Mus musculus: one gene and its partner. The protein of the gene in region 1 purifies or fractionates together with the protein of each later gene. This does not show direct contact. Links are inferred from orthologs where the notes say so. Each region holds a gene or a part of one and is shown in the gene's direction. Other genes may lie near its edges.

Evidence for each region.
Region 2: the proteins of Pomp (region 1) and Psmg1 purify together in Homo sapiens (affinity purification with mass spectrometry; 4 studies listed by BioGRID and IntAct, with this or other methods). This does not show direct contact. The link is inferred for Mus musculus from reciprocal best matches to the Homo sapiens genes POMP and PSMG1.

Annotation. Positions count from the first base shown.
Region 1 is NC_000071.6:147,856,597-147,866,448, forward strand, and holds the start of Pomp (proteasome maturation protein), read left to right. Parts: upstream 1-4,031; 5' UTR 4,032-4,092; coding exon 4,093-4,095; intron 4,096-5,956; coding exon 5,957-6,054; intron 6,055-9,852. UniProt on the Homo sapiens protein: Molecular chaperone essential for the assembly of standard proteasomes and immunoproteasomes. Degraded after completion of proteasome maturation. Mediates the association of 20S preproteasome with the endoplasmic reticulum.
Region 2 is NC_000082.6:95,984,541-95,994,420, reverse strand, and holds the start of Psmg1 (proteasome assembly chaperone 1), read left to right. Parts: upstream 1-3,460; 5' UTR 3,461-3,530; coding exon 3,531-3,667; intron 3,668-4,822; coding exon 4,823-4,929; intron 4,930-6,309; coding exon 6,310-6,461; intron 6,462-7,065; coding exon 7,066-7,128; intron 7,129-9,880. Other genes in the region: Brwd1 (bromodomain and WD repeat-containing protein 1), read left to right, coding at 444-823. UniProt on the Homo sapiens protein: Chaperone protein which promotes assembly of the 20S proteasome as part of a heterodimer with PSMG2.

The DNA of each region.
Region 1 (9,852 bases):
GGCTCAGTGGTTAAGGGCACTTGCTCTTAGAGAAGCCCCAGGCTCAACTCCCAGCACCCCCGTGGCAGCTCACAACCACCTGTCACTCCAGTTCCGGGGAATCCAGCGCCCTCCTCTGGACTCTGTGGGTATTAGGCATGCATATGGTATGTATACATACATGTGAGCAGAACACTCAATAAATATAAAATAAAATGAGAAGCCTTTCATCTGGAAATAGAACTATCACAGCATCCAGCCAGACCATTACTGGCAACACCCAATGGTCTCTATCTTCCAGAGATACTTGCTCATCTGGGCTTCCTGCTCGTAATAGCTAGGAAATGCAACCGGCCTGTGAGTCCACCGGGGGATAAATGGGTAATGTAAATGTGGCACATACGCACAACGGAATTTTATCTAGCCATAAAGGAAAAAAAATGAAATTATGAAATCTGCATTTTAGATGCATGGAGCTAAAAGCTATTATACTATCCGAGGTAAGCCAGGCACAGAAAGACAGACAGCATGTGTCCCTCCCAGTGGATCCTAGTCTTGACTGTTCAGATGTGTGCGTTTAACTGAGAGAACGTGCAGAGTCCTGTAAGCTACAAAGGGGCCACTGAGGCGGGGATGCCCAAAAGAGGCGGGGACAGTGGAACGAGGGTAACCTGGAAGCAGAGGACAGATACGGGCGTGGAAGCGTTCTAATAGGGATGAGGGAGAGGTTGGAGGAGGCAAAAGGATGAGGTAGGGGCCACCTAAATCAAAGGCTGTATAAAAAAGCCACAGGGAAGCCTACTGTCGTGTAAGTCAATGGCAATGGATATGCTTTTAAAAAGAGCTTGCAGATATCCTGCATGGCTGGAGAAGACTGCTCTTAGAAGCCATGGGTCATTTTAAAAAAAAAAAAAATCCCAGTGCCGGGTGTGGGATACCTTTTTATGCATTGTTCAAAAACAAGGTTGCAGATGACCCCCTCCCCCCAACAGTTCATGTCCTGTCATTCCTCTTGGTTGTCCACCAGAACTAGACATTAAGAGCTTATTGATGAAGATACCACACACTTCCATCTTCAGATCTAAGAGAAATCAAGCTGGAGGCTTCCTTCCTGTGGGCTAGCTTTTATAGTACTAGAGTACTATACAACTATATAACTGTTTGAGATAGATGTTACCGTCGCCTCGTTGTAGACGTGAGAAAACAAAGACATGTTAAGTAAATATACCCAAGGAGACATGTTAAGTAAATATACCCAAGGACCCAGCCTGAGTTCAGAGTTGCTCCAAATACTACACTGTATTGCTTTAAGTGTTAAAATAAATGGTCCTGTGTTTGGCCACCACGACTTAAGCCACCATTACTTAAGGCAACGACTTTAAGACTCACTGGGCCAATAGTCAAAGGATAAGAGCTGGCTCATTTGGTAGTAAAGTATGTCTTAGTTAGGGTTTCATTGCTGTGAACAAACACCAAGACCAAGGCAACTCTTAAAAGGACAACATTTGGGCTGGTGAGATGGCTCAGTGGGTAAGAGCACCGGACTGCTCTTCCGAAGGTCCGGAGTTCAAATCCCAGCAACCACATGGTGGCTCACAACCATCCGTAATGAGATCTGACTCCCTCTTCTGGAGTGTCTGAAGACAGCTACAATGTACTTACATATAATAAATAAATCTTAAAAAAAAAAAGGACAACATTTAATTGGGGCTGGCTTACAGGTTCAGAGAGTCAGTCCATTATCATCAAGGCAAGAACACAGCAGCATCCAGACAGGCGTGGTGCAGGAGGAGCTGAGAGTTCTGCATCTTCATCTGAAGGCTGCTAACAGAAGATTGGCTTCCAGGCAGCTAGGGTGAGGGTCTTAAGCCCATGCCCACAGTGACACACCTACTCCAACAAGACCACACCCACTCCAACGAGGCCACACCTCCTAATAGTGCCACTCCCTGGGCCAAGCATATACAAACCATCACCGTATGTAAAGGAGAATTATTAGACCTGCCCATGCAAACAATGAACTGGGTGTGTGTGTGTGTGTGTGTGTGTGTGTGTGCATATTGAGCCCAAATCAGAAAATGCTGGGAACTGAACATAGATCTTTTTTCATTTTTCTAGCCCTTATAACTGCAGCTTAAGAAAAAAAAATCTCAGGGCATCATGGCCCATGCCTGTAATGGTAGATTCAGGAGACAGAGACAGGAGGATTATGAGTACACACTCACGTTCAGACACAGAGTGAGCTGGTGGGCAGTGTGAGCTACTGGAATCCTACTTCAAAAACATAATCATTTAATGTTTGTTGACTGCACATGCTGAGTGATACAGAGTCAGTCCTGAACACTTGCTGAACATTTCTTTTAGTACTGGGCAATGAAATTATAAAAAAAGGAATTTCCTTACGTGTGAGATGCTGGAATTTTCCTGGAGGAACAGATATGTAAATAGATATCTTAAATGCACTTAACAAAGAAAGGGCTCATGGGATCAGGCCAAAGACATGTTGGTATGGTGATGGTCTTTGGTTTTATGTATCTGTGTACATGAGTACAGTTCAAGGCCAGAAGAGGGCATTGGATCGTCTTAAGCTGAGTTACAGATGGCTTTGAGCCTCCTGATGAGAGTGATGTGAAAGGAACCCGGGTTCTCTGAGAGGAGACAGTCTGGGCATATCAGTGAAGTCATTTACATCATTTTAAAAATGATGTACCCTGAATGTGGGAGGCGCCATCCCATAGGCTGGGGTCCTAGGCTGAGTAACAAGACAAAAACAAGAGGACGACATTCATTTCTCTCTGCTTCTGACTGCAGAACCCAAGTGACCAGCCGCCTCATCCTCCGGCCAGCACAGCTAAGACCTGTTTTGTCTTCTTCTCCTTCGTGCTATGCCATACTCTCATAATGTGAGCAACAGGGCTGGAGAGATGGCTCCGCGGTTAAGAGCATCTGTTGCGTCCCTTTCCCAGCACCCAGAGGGTGGTTCCCAACCATCTACCTATAACTCCAGTCCTATAAGACCCTAAGACTCTTTCGTGTTGGCAAACACCGCTAATGTTGCAAAAGAGTGTGAGGGCACCAGGCACACACCTGATGCACACGCAGACAGTCAAACAAAACGTTTTAGAGGAATCCTTTAAAAATTAATTTTAAAAAGCTTAATGAAAAGCCGGGCGTGGTGGTGCACGCCTTTAATCCCAGCACTTGGGAGGCAGAGGCAGGCGGATTTCTGAGTTCGAGGCCAGCCTAGTCTACAGAGTGAGTTCCAGGACAGCCAGGGCTACACAGAGAAACCCTGTCTCGAATAACAAAAAAAAAAAAAAAAGCTTAATGAAAAGACTTAGGGAGATGACTCATGTACAACATGTAGAACCACGTTATTTGTAATTCTAAGAGCCTGACATACGTTAGCTCTGATGACCCTGACTTAAAATTGTCACCACCACCACCCCCATGTCACCGAAAAGGACTTAGTCCCAGGGAACCTCCCAAGTCTTTGCTGTCTTCCAGTCTGGCCACACTGACCATATCGCCGCCTTCTGCCTCCCGCTTTTAAGTTGCTTATTATGAACGAACCGGTGGCCAGACCTGACTTGGGACTCAGGTTGTGATTGCCCCCCAAGTTCGGAAATATCCACACCCCACAACCCTGGAGCCCGCCTCTGCCTGAGGCTCGGTGCCTAAGCTAGCTTGGTCCTTTCCTTAGGTTCTACACATACCCAGCCTCGGACCTTCGATTTATAAAACCGTAAAGGCCTGTTGTCCCACTTTTGACTCAGCAGAAGGACTTTATGTAAATCACCACCGTGCGTCCTTGGATGGCCCGTGGGAAGTCTGTGCATTTGCACACGCCCATCTAACACCGTCCCGCGAGGCCAGGGCCAGTGCACACCCGAGCTGCGCCCTTGGCCCTCGCTCACCGGGGGACAGCGAGCGTGGGAGCCCCGGCCCAACGCTACTCCCTGCTCCTCCCACGCCCCCTTTCCTTCCTGGCCGGAAGGACGCACTTCCGGCGGATGGGGCGGAGGGGTGGGCGTCTCGGCCCCGGAAACGGAAGTGAGCGGTTTGGCCGGCGGACTCGAGCAGGTTTATAGATCTCACAGAGCTGTTTCAAAGATGGTGAGTGAGCGCGGAGGGCCGCCGTCGCGGCGGGTACTCGTGGTGCGGGCACGATCGCGACTGCCCGGTCCCGGCGGGTGTCTGACGTGGGCGGGACCCGGGCTGCACTCTCTCGGGTGGTCCTGGCTCCGATCGGACGGCGCGGGTCAGTTCCCCGGGCCTCCCAGGCCACAGCGCCCCTTCCCAGCAGTGGAGGCGGATGCACTCCATGCACTGGGCACCTCCGAAAGCCAAGCCTTGTGTGCGTGTTGGGACACGCCACGTGCCTTCTCCCTTAGGGTGACTGCACCCCTACACCCGCCAAGGCGCACGACCGCCCGTTGCATTCGTACAGCTCAGCCTCGGTTTACAAACATCTCTCTGTGTGCCATGTGTCGCTCCCGTTTTGTTCGTATAGTTAGTGCTTGAACTCCCTCGCATCCCCCTCTGGCCTCTCCTCCCCTTCTGGCCTCTCCTCCTGCCCCACTTTCTGTTTCTCTTTGAGCATAGTCCTGAGTCACTATGGCACTCCTCCGCACGCCATCTGCCCACGTCCAGAAAGCTTGGATTGGCAGAGACCGCTAACCAGTGTAAAGGAATGTGAGAAACGCTGAAATATGAATGGTTTTTAGGTCTTCATAGACTTAACTTGTATCTGACACTGAACTAGAACCTTAAGGAGTCCTCATATTTTACAAAAGGACACCGGGACGATAGTAACAGCAATACTAGAGTTCAGAATTTCCCCTTTGTGTGTAGCGAAACTTCTCCTTTGGTGCTTTTCAGTACATCTGTCCCCAGGAGAACACTGTACTGTAGTGGTGTCAGTCAGCATTGGGACAGCTATAATCATAGACAGGGCCAGTCCTGGAAGTCTGTGCTTGACTGGCAGTCACGGAGTAGGTGACTGTCCAGGATAGATTACCTGTTGTCTTCCTGATCCCCGTGGTTTCCTGTGTGAAGAGTGGGGACACCAACAGTACCAGGCCCTTGAATTATAGAGTTGGAGCCCCGAACTCTATTTCTCAGATGTTAATGAGGTCTAGAAGGAGATTGTTAGCGATTTTGTTGGTGAGGTGGTGTGTTTTGGGGAAACCTTGTGCAGAATTGGGGAGACTGGTGAGGCTCAAGCAAGACCCAGTTGGGGCTGCTGACATTCCCCCCCATGCGAGCTGCCAGGTCAAATACACAGGTGAAGTAAGTCTATCAACTAGCTGCTTTCTCAGAATTGTTTGGTCTAGACTAGTAACAGAGACCAGGTCACCTGTATCTAAGCAGTTTGTGCTGTCAGATGTCGGGTGACAGTGACAGTTCCAAAGGAGCTGTTTTTAGCCTTTTGCACTGTTTCAACTAGCTGCATTTATTTTTAATCATAGAAGACAGCTCCTCCCCCTTTCTGTCAGATCCTATGACCTCATGTCTAGGTGTCATGCCGTAATTCCACCTCTGGTATTATATTTGACCTGCCTGTTCCCTGGGGTTCTGTCCTCAGCCTTTTCATTGGGTTAAAACACTACAGCCAATGGGAAGGTTCTTTCCAGTGAAGCAGATCTGGCTGATCATACCAAGATTAGGGTAAAGCTCAAGTTTTTTGGTACATACGACTGTCCACCTTTGAATTTTACCCCTTCAATCATGTCAGTCATCTCAAACTGGCCGTAGTTTGTCTTCATTCCTTTTCTTTTTCTTCATACGATGCTCTCCCTGCTGCCACATTTAGAAGTCAGAGCAGGAGTCTTTCTACCTTCGGATGCGGTGCTCAATGTACCCCGTGCGCTGGCTACCGCAGCACTTAAGGCTCTCTCTGTAGATCCTGGGTTCCTTAAGGGCACGGTTCTTAGCGCCTCTGTCCTCTAACCAGCGCATTGACTTTGTGTTGTAGAACGCCAGAGGTCTTGGGTCGGAGCTGAAGGACAGTATTCCAGTCGCGGAGCTCTCAGCCAGCGGGCCTTTCGAGAGTCACGATCTTCTCCGGAAAGGGTATGTCGGGGAGCTGGGGCTGTGTCTCGCTCGTTCTCACGAAGCGCTTCTTGTGGATTCTCTCCAAGGTGCTCTCCCTGGAAGGCTGTAAATGTGTATTTGATTCTTGCATGTTCCTTGTAGCTGGAGAACTCTTGTAGCAGAATAACAGCATGCGGGCTTGCAGGAAGGGGGTCCTCCTAGTGTCTGGGACTATTGGTAGGATTCTCTGGGCTCGTTTGATGAGGGAGCTAGCCCTGGAGTTTGAACCTAGGGTGTCGTATAATGGGAAGCAAGCGCTCTACCTCTGAGATCTATAGCCCTAGCCCTTAGTTTAGTAGGATTCTTACTGCTCGTAACTCAGCCGTTGACCTCTCGATGCTACTGACTGCAGGAGACACGAAAATATAGCATTTATATAGCAGTGGTTAACAAAGGACTGGGCAAGTATGACTTGAGTTTGGATCCCCAACACCCATTTAAGGGCAGGTCACCCTAGCCAGTTGATGGTCACTGTGCCAGTGAGAGCCTGCCTCAGAGCATAAGGCGGAGAGCAGCAGGGGAAGCACCACTGAATGTCAGTTCTGGCCTACATGAAACACACACACACACACACACACACACATGCACGCACGCACACACACATGAAACGCACACACACTCTGGCCTACATGAAACACACACACACACACTCTGGCCTACATGAAACACACACACACACACACTCTGGCCTACATGAAACACACACACACACACTCTGGCCTACATGAAACACTCACACACACACTCGAGCACACACACACACGTGCACACACGCACACACACACACACACACACACACACACACAGGAGAATCTCCGAATGTCAGACCTGGCATACATGAAACACACACACACACACACACCTCCTTAAGAAAGGATGGTGGCTGGGTGGCGGTGGTGCATGCCTTTAATCCCAGCACTTGGGAGGCAGAACTGTCCTGTGAGTTCCAGAACGGCCAGGGCTACATGGAAAGCCTGTCTTGAAAAGTCTCCCTCACCCCGTCCCACCCCACCCCTGAGAGACGGGGTCGGGGGGGGGGGGGGGGGGGGGGAGAAAGGATGGTGGGTATACACCGAGGAAACAAGGCCTTCTTTCCTGACACAGCAGTGCTAAAGCAAACATGAACTTGCAAAGCCTGTGGCAGGCAGCAGGCACAGAGCCGGCACAAGCCAGATGGGGTACCAGTGCTTAGGCAGGAAGTGGACAAAAGCCCCCGTCCATAACCTAGACGCTACACGTAAGGGCAGGCCAGACAAGCTCAGTGGAACTTCATTTTTTTCTAACTTAGAGATCTTTTGTTTATATGTTGTGGTTTCTGGCTTTGTGTTTTTATGAGATTACTGTGTGTGTAGAGGTTTGAGAAAACTCTTATTGTCAATAAGAATCAGAAAGGGAGGGAGAGAGGCAGAGACGGAGAGAGAAAGGATGACGTGCTGTGGCTGCTTGGTTTTGGGTCCCAGCTCTGTTGTCCCCTGGACGACGTCTTGTGACAGGTGCTCAGCGTTCCAGTCGGTGACCAGAGTGAACAGTACTTGTGTTACACAGTCGGAGCAAGGGAGTCAGTACCCGAGAACACGCACGTGTGCCCAGCTCGCTCTGGCACTTCGTGGTGGCTGCTTTTGTTTGTGTTCTCCAGCTCCCTGTCCTACCTGCTTCTGTGATTTCCTTCTTTAGACACCTGTTCCAGTCGTCTGCCCCTGGCACATCACTTTTCTGCTCATACAATACAAGGTCGATGTGACTTCCAGTGTATTTCCATCCTAACTGAAAATGCTGACTTTTCCTGCAGTAGAGTGGCATTCTGGCATCCTGGTGCTGAGGTCTGGGCACATACATAGTCCATTTTGGATTAGTAGGAAAGACACAGGATATGGCCTCTTGGAGTCATAATTTGATCTGTAGTAAAATTAATAGGCTGAGGGCTGGAGAGGTGGCTCAGCAGTTATAGTATTTGTTCTTCCTGAGGACCCTGGTTTAGTTCCCAGCAGCCCCATGGAGGCTCATAACCACCTGTAACTCCATTTCCAGGGAATCAGATGCCCTCTTCTGGCCTCTGTGGGAACCAGGGCAAACATGCACAGACAGTTTTTAAAGAAAATTAATAGGCTAGCCACCAGCTAGTCCTGCTGAGCCCCACCAACGACCGAACCCCTCCAGGAAATGTCATTTTTTTTCCCCAATTGTACAGGGAGACTGCACAGGAAGGCCGTTTTCATGTTCTCCCTCTCTGATGGCGATCTGTTCACAGTGCTCAGTGGGTGGCTGTGGCAGGGCTTGTAGGCTTTGGGGCCCTCAGACCCTGCTTTAGACAGTACTTAGCAGGACAGTGACCGTGGTCGGGTCCTAACTGTGGGTCTCTTAAGCATGTGGTTTGACATGTCTTTATAAAGGTACAGCACTGAAGGAAGAGTCTTAGCTAGCCTGTCTTAGGAGCAGCATCCCATCAAAGTGGCAGTAATATTAAACACATGCTTGTTGAGTTCTTGTAAAATAACTTAAACATTTTTACTAGAAGATTTAGGAGACAGAGGGATGGCTCAGTGGTTAAGAGCACTAGCAGTTTTTCTAGAGGACTGGGATTTATTTCCCAGCACCCACATAGCAGCTAACAACTGTCTGTAACTGCAGTCTTGGGAATCTGGTGTCCTCTTCTGTTCTCCAAGGGCATCAGACACACAGGTGCTACAAAGACAGACATACAGGCAAAACATCCATGCACATAATAAATATTTTAAAAATTAATTTACATGAGAACCCATGAAAGACATCAAAATAAACAATGAAACTCAGTGGGAACAGTTAAATGGTAAAAATATTGCACAGCTTTTCAGTGGCATTACTATCAGGGCTTTATTATAGATAGAGGACTGAGCTAGCATCCACGTTTGCAAAGCCTTTGTCTTAGGGTTTCACTGCTGTGAACAGACTCCAGGACCAAGGCAACTCATAGAAGAACAACATTTAATTGGGGCTGGCTTACAGGTTCAGAGATTCAGTCCATTATCAAGGCAGGAACATGGCAGCTTCCAGGCAAGCATGGTGCAGGAGGAGCTGAGAGTTCTACATCTTTATCTGAAGATTGCTAGTAGAATACTGATTTCCAGGCAGTTAGGAGTAGGGTCTTAAAAAGGCCAGGCCCACAGTGACACACCTACTCCAGCAAGGCCACACCTCCAAATAGTGCCACTCCCTGAGCCATGCATATACAAGCCATCACATTCTGCTCCCTGGCCCTCAAAGGCTTGTTCAAACACATGAATCTGTGGGGGGCCATACCTAAACATAACAATGCAAAATACATTTAGTCCAACTTCCAGAGTCCCCATAGTCTATAGCAGTCTTAGCAATGTTAAAAATCCAAAGTTTCTTCTGAGATTCATCCAGTCACTTAACTATAATCCCCAAGGCAAGACAGGAAACCAGCGGGGCAAACTCCAAACTCTGCATCTCCACGTCTGATTTCAAGGCGATCTTACAGATCTCCAACTCCTTTTTCATCTTTGTTGACTGCAACAAACTTCTTTCTCCTGGGCTGGTTTCACTCCCTGTTAGCAGCTTTCGTCAGCAGATAGCTCTGGCATCTCGAACATCTTGGGGTCTCCAAGGTAACTTCAGTGTTACAGCTTCTTGTTTCGATGTCTGGGATCCACACAGGAACTTCTGGGCTCCTCCCAAGGGCTGGTATCACTTCTCCAGCTCTGTTCTCTGTAGCACTCTAAGCTCGGCTTTCATCCACTCCACTACGGCTGCCGTTCTTACTGATTATCCATCTCCAAT
Region 2 (9,880 bases), on another chromosome or scaffold:
AGAAGTGGGAACACATGATTCTCTTCTCTCCTTTTCTCTCTTTGATTTCCTAGACATAATTTCTCTGTGTAGCCCTGGCTGTCCTGAAACTGTAGAGCAGGCTGGTCTCAAACTCAGATCTGCCTACCTCTGTCTCTCCAGTGCTGGAACTAAAGATTTGTACCGCCGCCGCCACCACCAGGCTGTGCTCCTCTTAAATCCAAACATTTTAGGTGAGTAGCTTTATGAGGCTGAAAGTTTTCACTTCATTCTTGCAAGCCATTACTTAGAAATGACAGTGGTTGGTCCGTATAGGGAAGCATATGGAAGCCATAAGCCTGTCAAACCAGCTTTTTAATTGTTCACATAATTAAGACCGGCTCAGGGCTGTTGTTGAGGAATGTATATAGTACAGTCTTGTGACAAGATTTCTGTATTTACATGAATTTTCACTCATTTTTCAGAATCTGTTCGTAAAGACAGAGAACCCCATACAAAAATGAGACCATGTATGCTTAATGAGAAGGATGCAGTACAGATGCATAGTGACACCCTGAAAGCAAAAACGGTGCCTGAGAAAGTCCCCCGCAGATGTGCTACCGTTGCTGCAAATAAAATAAAGATGATGTGTAATCTAAAAGAAGTGGTCTCAGGACCAGAGAATGTCGGCATTAGGACGATCAGCAGAAAACTGCCCTATCGACAAGCCTCTGCTGCAGCTAAGAAAAAGTTACTGAGTGTTTATAAAGAGGATGATGCACCCATACATTCAGAGAACGAAAAGGAGCTATATCTTAGGCGGTTCAGATCCCGGAAGGAAAAAGCCCAGCCTACTCCGAGGTAGAAAGGTTACCGGGAATTGTCAGCAGCTCCAATGCCTGCCCTGAAGTCCGCTCCCAACCATAAGCCGTCCCAGCACCTTTTGAACAATTTTGTGAAAGCCATTACTCTGGGTCAAAGTGGGATGATGGCTTCCAGTTAGCTCTACACAGCACAGCATAGGGTGTTCCAAGGAGGTAGGAGATGTGGATTGTGTTGTCAGGTGAGAAAGCAGAAGGACCCACTGAATGTAAAGCAAAGGCTTGACGCAGCTTGGTCCTCTAGAGAAATAAAAGCATGTGGGATATATGGGGAAACAATGCTAATTTCAATGGTTTGCCCTCACAGACTGAAAACTAGGCCATTTCCAAAGGAGGGAGCAGTAAGCCCATGTGACTGCTGAATTTTAACTGGGTCTGATTTATGTAGTGCACATCCCTGGGAACTGAGAGAGTAAATCCTGGGGTGTTACTGACTTCTGAAGAGGAGTGTGGGAAAGACTGTCATTAATGTCTTATTTATAACATTGGAATTCATACTGAATGATAGCTACCTGGTATGAGTAATTCAGGGAATGTATCTTTCTAAGAAAGTTCTCAATGTGACTATTACACTTTATTTCTTCTATGTAGCAGCAAAGATGTAAAGGCCAGACTTGTGGTCAGAAATTAGAACAAGATGCACTCATCGCTTAAGGTGATGCAGTTGGATCCTATTTCTTACGTTTCTCTGCTGTTCCTTAGAAGTTAGAATGTGACACTGCAGGTTCATTTCAGGCTCACTAACAAGCCAAGTGTCGGGGAGTCTGGCCTCTGGTCGTTGTGCTACAAATGTTTTGCCTACAGAGGATGTGGACTTTAGTTCGTTGTTCATGGCTATTTGTTGACATTAAGGTCACCAGATGTGACCTGTGAATGTACTGTCAAGTCTTTTTATCATGTTACTGGAGAAACTTGTCTTCAACAGTTTGTTTTTCCAATTAAAAATAGCTGTGACTATTAGGCATAACTTGCATGTATAAATCAAAAAAACAATGGAACCTAGGGGTGTGTATTTTTCATTAACAGTAATGCACATTTTTTTCAGTTATATGTATGGCCAAAGTGTCCAGATTACTTGAGAAACTTGTTTGTGGTTGCATGCCTGCTTAAAACAAAAACACAACTCAGAATTCTAACATAGTGTGTGTCTTTTTGTAACTCACTCTGAAATCTTCAGCATCTTGCTACAAGCACAGGAAGAGTTCCCTTCCTCCTCTTTGGTGCATGGGTTTGGTTTATTTATTTATTTATTTTGAGCTTTAATGAAAAATTTAAATGTCCAATCCCAAATGTCATAGAATTACTTATTGAGCAATTATATCCTCAAGAAATGCCATGAAATGAAAATATATCAGTCTAATGAAGACCTGTGAATTTTGGCAGTGTGAATTGAAGATCTGAAGTTACATCTTGCTGTCTGATCCTGTCCAGCCTTTTATAATGGAATCCCTTTCTGGCCTTTAATTGGAACATATTTTTATTTACCCTTTAAAGTGTTTGGTCTCTTTATTGTGACTGAATGGAGTAACACTGTAGTAAAATCCCTCCTGCAAATGTGTGCCGACAAGCCACCACTTCCCTATGATTTACCAACACGCTTCAGATTTCTGTTGGTGCTTTTTTCATGTGTGAGTGAGAAATCAAATCGAGTATCTTTATCAGCAAAGTATCCGCTTAAGAAACCAGCAAAGAGACAGCCAGGGACATCTGCTCTTCAGCTCGCTTCTACTAACCCTGGAATCTGAGTCTTAAAGACACCACACTGAGAATCTTGTGTGTGTGCTATAGTTACACACAAAGTGTTCTAGTTGGTATACATCTGCTTTTTATTTATTTCTTTGGTTTTTCTAGACAGGGTTTCTCTGTGTAGCCAAAGGATGTCCTGGAGCTCCCTCTGTAGACCATGATGGCCTTGAACTCAGAAATCCATCTGCCTCTGCCTCCCGGGTGCTGGGATTAAAGGTGTGTGTCACCACTGCCCGGCATTCATCTGCTTTTTATTAACCAGTGAGTATGTATGTTAAGATTGATATGCTTTTTCCTCCCAGTAGACTTGAAGCATCGTTTTTCTACATTGTGAGAGATTTTTAAACAACTTTCCAAGAGTTTTGATTTTTAAAGGACCCTCTGATCCCCAAACATTTTACCCTGGGCAATGCAGTCTCCATTTCCTCACAAGCAAATCTAGAATGTGTTTTTATTTCCCACTGAGGTGCCAGTTACCCTTTTTCTCGTGGGAGCAGCATTCGGTGGAGCTCTTTGTCTTCCAGCACACAAACCAGAAACACACATTCTTCCTGTCATTAAAGTAGAAAACACGGTCTATGAGTTACATATGGCCAGGTTTTAAAAAGCCTAGCCTTGCAGCCTCACTCATGTTCTCTGAATCCGCTTGCAGTCATCAACCCTGGAGCTGTCTGTGCTTCACCCGCAGCTCTGGGTTTCCTCCACGGGTGGGTCCTTGCAGGAGGGTCGCCGGGTGTGGAGCGGGCGCTGCGTGCCCCGGTTAACAGGATGACGGAAGCGCGCCGCGGGACATTTCTCGCGGCGGACCGGAAGCTCTTAGGTTCTCCCCCCTCCCCCCACGGAAGGCGTATCCTCGCTCGGAGGCGGGGTGGGGGCGTGGCTTGGAGGGGGCGTGACTGCGGGCCGGCGCGCATGCGCTGTCTGGCCGCGCGGAGCTGAGGGACCATGGCTGCCACGTTCTTTGGCGAGGTGGTGAAGGCGCCGTGCAGAGCTGGGACTGAGGAGGAAGAAGAGGAGGAGGAGCAGAGCAGGCGGGACACGCCGGAGGACCGGGAGGTCCGGCGGCAGCTGGCGCGGAAGAGGTCAGGCTCCCGGAAGGCTGCGAGCGTCAGGCGGTGTCGGCCTGCAGGGTGCCCTGCGTTCACGCTGGGACGTCGGCAGCCCAGCGATGCTCGCCCTCCACCGTGCACTTTAGGTCACGCCGCATGTCGGCCGTATTTCTTTCAAAACTACTTTCAGACACAGAAGTCAGGTCACGCCAGCCCCTTCCTTGGTCAAGGTTTTACCACATTCATTTCCTCTCCCACCACCCCTACGAGTTTCCGATTAGGACTCCCCACACGTCTTCCTAAGCATGCTGTCTCAATTATTTGTACTCTAGAGCAAACCCACACATAAAATATGCACATAATTAAACTTTGTTGATTCTCCTATTTTTTCAGTACCTCCATTCTGAGCTTTTAGGCGGGTTCTCGGATCAGAACTTGGGTCGTCATGTTTGTGTTGGCAACTTAGCACCTTCCCTACCCCACGTTTGCTAATAACACGTTTTCAGTATCATACCAGTCCACAGTCAAATTCACCTAGATTTTTAAAATACACTTCCCGGTGATTGTGTCAACGACAGACACTTTTGGCAGTTCGTTTCATTTGACAGCTCCCTCTCACTTCTCACACTCTTCCCGAGAGCCCTGATTTGTCTGATGGTCAGTCTTAGCTTACTTTTGCCACAGCTAAATGCTTGAACGTTTGTTTGAAGTCTTGGTCACATTCAGCATTTTGCGGGCTGGAGTGTTGGAGATGCTTTTAGTGTCTTTTTACATTGTGTCTGGCTTGTGGGTGCTGGCATTGTGTGTGTCAGGCTAGTATGAAGTTTGTTAGTAGTTTTACTCATAAAAAGAAAGTGTTTTATCCATTTGCAAGGGCACCAAGGACACTGATTATTTTATCTAACACCATCTATCCATCCAACTATCCACTCATCTCTGTCTTCTATCACCTACCTATTTATCCATCCATGTATATGTAAATATAGCACCTTTCTACTACCCATATAAATATCTATAAGTAACATGTCTACCATCGATCTCATCTGTCTTCCATCTATTTATACATCCAGCTCTATATAGCACCTATCACTTAATCTCTTAATCTGACTGTCATTCTGCCCATCACCATCTCTTACAGTGAACTGGTGGTCACAGTCATATTTGTTCACTTTTGTCTCTTGCTGTTAGGGAGGTTCGGCTTCTCCGAAGACAGACAGAAACATCTCTGGAGGCTGTGCTCCTAGAGACACACCCTTGCTCCAAGTTTATAATTGCAGTAGGAAGCAACGCAACAGGTAAGTGCCAGTGTCAGGAGTATATGTCCCGTTGGAAGAATGGACTCGAAGGTCCTTCTGCATGTATCTTACGTATTTTAAAAAGTTCACAACAGGTCCTGGGCATGTGGCTCAGGTGATAGAGTGCTTGCCTGTCAATCACAAGACCTTGGGTTTGAATCCCAGTACCATGTGAACTGGGCACAATGAAATCCGAGCACTCAGCAGGTGGGAAGTGGCAGAAGAGAGCATGAAGAAGTTCCAAGGCCAAGATGGGCTCCGTGAAGCCTGTCTTCAAAAGCCACAGTCGTTTTACTTCATGTAGGATAGATTGCCTGTTCTTTCCATCTTTGTAATGAGATTTAAAGGAAATATGCTTAGCTTCAGAATTACAGTTCAAGGCCCTGTTTTCCAGTTTGTTATGGTGTCCACAGGTCTAGCAGTAATTGCTTACATCTGGAACACTTCAGTTCTAAGGTCTTTGAATGCACTTATTGACCTGGTAGGTTCAAAGTAGAGTAATGTGAGTTTACTTGGATCAGTGTTGTATGTCAGTACACATGGAGATCTTTATAATTTCACTGGGTTTGCAGTCTCTGAGGAGATCATTTGAGAACTCTAGTTAGGAGCTCTTGCCCTGTAAGTGAGCCGTAGTACTTAGAGACTGTGTAAGTAGGCAGTAGACTCGCCCATTATATAAAGGTCTGCTTGCCTAATTGTTTTTAGAAGAATCTTACATTGTGAGACTGGTGCAGAGTCTGTGGACAAGTCCACTCCCTGTGTGTAGTTCTTTGTGGAGAGTGGAGACTTTTCACTCCTCAGCCTCAAATTTTGTTGGCTCCAAAGTGGTCCAATTAGAAGGTCTTTAATGTTTTAAAAAGAAATTTATGCCAGGTGTGGTGGTGCACTCCTTCAATCCCAGCACATGGGAGGAAGGACAGGTGGACTTCATGAGTTCAAGGCCAGCCTAGTCTACAGGTTGAGTTCTAGGACAGCCAAGGCTACCCAGAGAAACCTTGTCTTAAAAAACAAAACATCAACAAAAAAATTTAAATCCGTGCTTTTTTTTTTGTTTGTTTGTTTTTTCGAGACAGGGTTTCTCTGTATAGCCCTGGCTGTCCTGGAACTTACTTTTGTAGACCAGGCTGGCCTCGAACTCAGATATGTGCATATTTTTATGTGTGGGTTTGCTTTGGAGTATAAGCTAGAGGAGGGCATCAGCTCTCCTAGAGTTGCGAGTCACCAGGGGGAGGGCGCTAGGAACCAAGCTGGGGCACAGGAGCAGTAGTCAGTGTGAACTCTAGATGGGTCAGTGTGAACTGTTTTCGGGTAGCTGAGCTTTGGTTTGAGTGGGTAGTTCACACAGCAGACACCGGTTCACGGGAACATTTCTCTCCACAGCATTCCTGTCAGCGTTTGTTATGAACTCGGGAGTCTGGGAAGAAGTCGGTTGTGCTAAGCTCTGGAATGAATGGTGCAGAACTACAGACACTGTCCGTCTGTCCCCTACAGATGTTTTCTGTGTGTTTTATCAACTGAAATCAGATCCCTCGGTATGTGAGACTTGACTTAGTATTCTTGAAACATGGTCATGTAGGCACGAGCCCTCGATAGTAAGCAGATTCTCATGCCAGGCCTCTGTCACCCAGGATATTCTCTGTCCTGATACTCATTTCTAATGTCTCAGTGAATTTTAGGCCTCACTCTTAAATGTTAGAATCAACAGAGGAGCAGACTGCTGTGTCCCGGCCTCTATTGCTGTAACAAATGCCTAAAAAGCAATCAGCTTACAGAGAGAAAAGGTTGATTTTTGGCTTGCAAGGTTCGAAGTTCCAGTGCGTGACCGGGGCAGACCCTTTGCTCACAGGCCTGCTGGGGTGGGGAGAGCTAGTGCTTCTTGGCAGGACTGCGCAGGGGCGGCACAGCCCAACCCAAGGCCAGGAGCAAAGGAGCAAAAGGGAGAGATGGGTGTCACACCCTTTCACGGACACAGCTAATGACCAGAGGCTCTTGGCCCTTTTGAGTGAACACATGGGCCTCTGGGGGACTCCGTCTCCATAGAGCGATGTCCATCACTGGTACTTAGGAGGTGCTCATATGACGACGGGGCCAGGTGTGTGTGCACTTTATGTGAGAACTCTTGAAATTCCCTTTCAGGTTTTTCTATGTCAGTGTAGCTGCTACATTGCTGAGGATCAGCAGTTCCAGTGGTTGGAGAAGGTAAGAGGAGGAAACCCGGATCCACTAGACAGGCGTGTGCTGGCCAATCTCAGGGGCTGGAGTCAGATACTAGATAAGAATTTGTTTCTTTAAGATAATATTGTGGGAGTTATGGAGTGTTTGGTTTTTGTTTGTTTGTTTGTTTGTTTGTTTGTTTAAAGGAAAGTTTTTAGCCAAGTGATGGTGGTGCACACCTTTAATCCCAGCACTCGGGAGGCAGAGGCAGGTGGATCTCTGGGAATTCAAGGCCAGCCTGGTCTACAGAGCAAGTTCCAGGATAGCCAGAGCTACACAAAGAGCATCAGGGGCCTTGAAGGAGTAGCCACTACCACACTCCTAGTACCACTCCTCTATTTCTTAGCATTAGGTGTGGTTACAAGCCATTTTGGAAAACTGAATTCAAGGACTTAAGAGAAATCCATTACATATTGGGCATGCCTTCTCTAGGATGTTTGAGACTAGAAATGTTTTATATTTCTTTTTTTAGTTTTGGAATATTTGTTCATACAGAATGACACATCTCAGGGCTAAGTCTCAAGTTTAAACACGAGTTCATGTTTTATATATAGCTTAAACATTTTAGTTTGAAGTGAAGTTTCATGGTATGAAGTTTTCCACGTGGCTTGTCATTAGGCAGGCAAAGGTTTTGGATTTTGGGTTGGGAATACTCACTGTATCCATACTTTATCCATAGTGCATGCATTACTCCATGGCTGGCATAGACTTACTTTCAGTAGAAGCACAATTGTATATGTGTGGACAGCGTGCAGCAGTCAGATGATGACTGGCACGCCCAGAGTCTTCAACACTTACCACTTACTCCACCTGCTAGTGAGGAGGACTTTATAAAAACATCTCTGTCCACTTGAACGTACATACTAAAATGAAACTCATTGGAAATAAAATTTTCATGTGCACCTATTTTAAAGCAGTTGACCTTCTTAAAAACATTCATTAAATTATCAGTGTGCTCATTTATGTGATCTGTATCCTGTTCTTTAATTTGTATGTGTATACTCAGGGTACAGGAATGTATTTTCTGGGGTGAAAAGAGCAAAATGTTTAGTTTTACTTTTAAATTATGCAGGATGGTGGTTATATAAAAATATTATTACCCTTGCACAGTAGAAAAAAATTAACACATTCAAGACTTGAAGAGCTATCAAATTAGGCATTTTTAAATAAAAAATATTATATATATGTGTGTGTGTGTGTGTGTGTTTTGCTTATATGTATAGCTATGTACCATGTATATGTCTAATGCCCTTAGAAGTTAGAAGAGGGTATCAGATCTCCTAGAACTGTAGTCCCTGACGGCTGTGAACTGCCATCTACATCCTCGGAGCAACAAGTACTCTGAACCTCACAGCGGTCTCTCCAGTACTCAGATTATACAGTTTTAAAGTGAAGGGTTTCTTTTTATGTTCCTATTTAATTTTATTTTATTTGGGCTTTTATTTTTAGATTCTTGCTAAATAGCCCAGGCTGGCCTTGAACTTAAAACTTTTTCGGTTTTGACCTCCTCAGTGCTGAGATGATAGGCGTCTGCTATCAAGTGAGGGCTTTTTTGGTTTTGGTTTTGGTTTTTGTCATTTTTTTTTTTTTTCTGAGACAGGGTTTCTGAGGTGTATACTTCATATACTTCATATTCTTCATTTTCTTTGGGACCCCTGCAGTGTTGGTGATAGCCAAATCCTCATAGTGACACACAGCCTGACAGCTATGTGTTCAGACCAGAAATATAGAGAAAGGAAGGAAGCCATGTTGTGAGTTTTCTTTCTTTCTTAAATGAATGAAGCAGCATTGCTTTAGTATTTACTTCCAAACTGTCAAATCACTTACGTTACCTGAAACAGAACTTTAGTTTTCCTATTATTATTGGCTCCAGCCATTTATTACATCATTAAATATTTCAGATAAGTCAGACATGGTGGCAAACACTTGGGCTAGTTACCTTTTGTTGTGAAAACAATATATCAACGAAAAGCAAAGTAGAGGAGAAAGTGGTGTTTCGGTTTATACTTGTAGGGGGACAAAGTCTGTCCTGGTGGAGAACGTGGGACAGCAGGCAGGGAAGGCACAGTGTCAGGAGCAGGGGGCTGGCTGACCACAGTTTTATTCACACATAGGAAAGAGAGAGTGAACAGGATGTGGGAACACGTTGTAAACCATGTAAGCCTGCTCTGGTAACACACTTCCCCCAACAAGGCTGCACCTCTTGAGCATTCTGTAGCCTGCCCCAGCAGCACTGCCAGCTGAAGGCTGCAGAGTACACGGCTCATTCAAACCACAGCTCTTATAAGCTCAGCCTTTGAGAAGCCAGCATAGGAGAACCATGAGCTTGGGGCCAGCATGAACTACTCACGAGACACTGTCTCAGCAAACATACAGATGAAAACAGAGGAAAAGATCAAAACAGAAAATAATCTGAGCAAATACAGTGTCTTAAAATTCTTTCTTTTGGGGCTGAGGGATGGCTCAGCCGTTCAGAGCACTGGGCTGCTCTTCCAGAGACCCTGAGTTCAATTTCCAGCATCTACATGGTGGCTCACAACTATCTATAACTATATTTCATGGGATCTGATGCCCTCTCTTGCTGTGCAAGTGTACATATAGATGAAACACTCATATATACATAAATAAATCTTATAAAAAAGAAAGCTGGGCATGTGCCTTTCATCTTAAGTAGAGGCAGCTGGGTCTCTGTGAGTTTGAATCCATCCTGGTCTACAAAGCCACAGCTGTTAAGAGA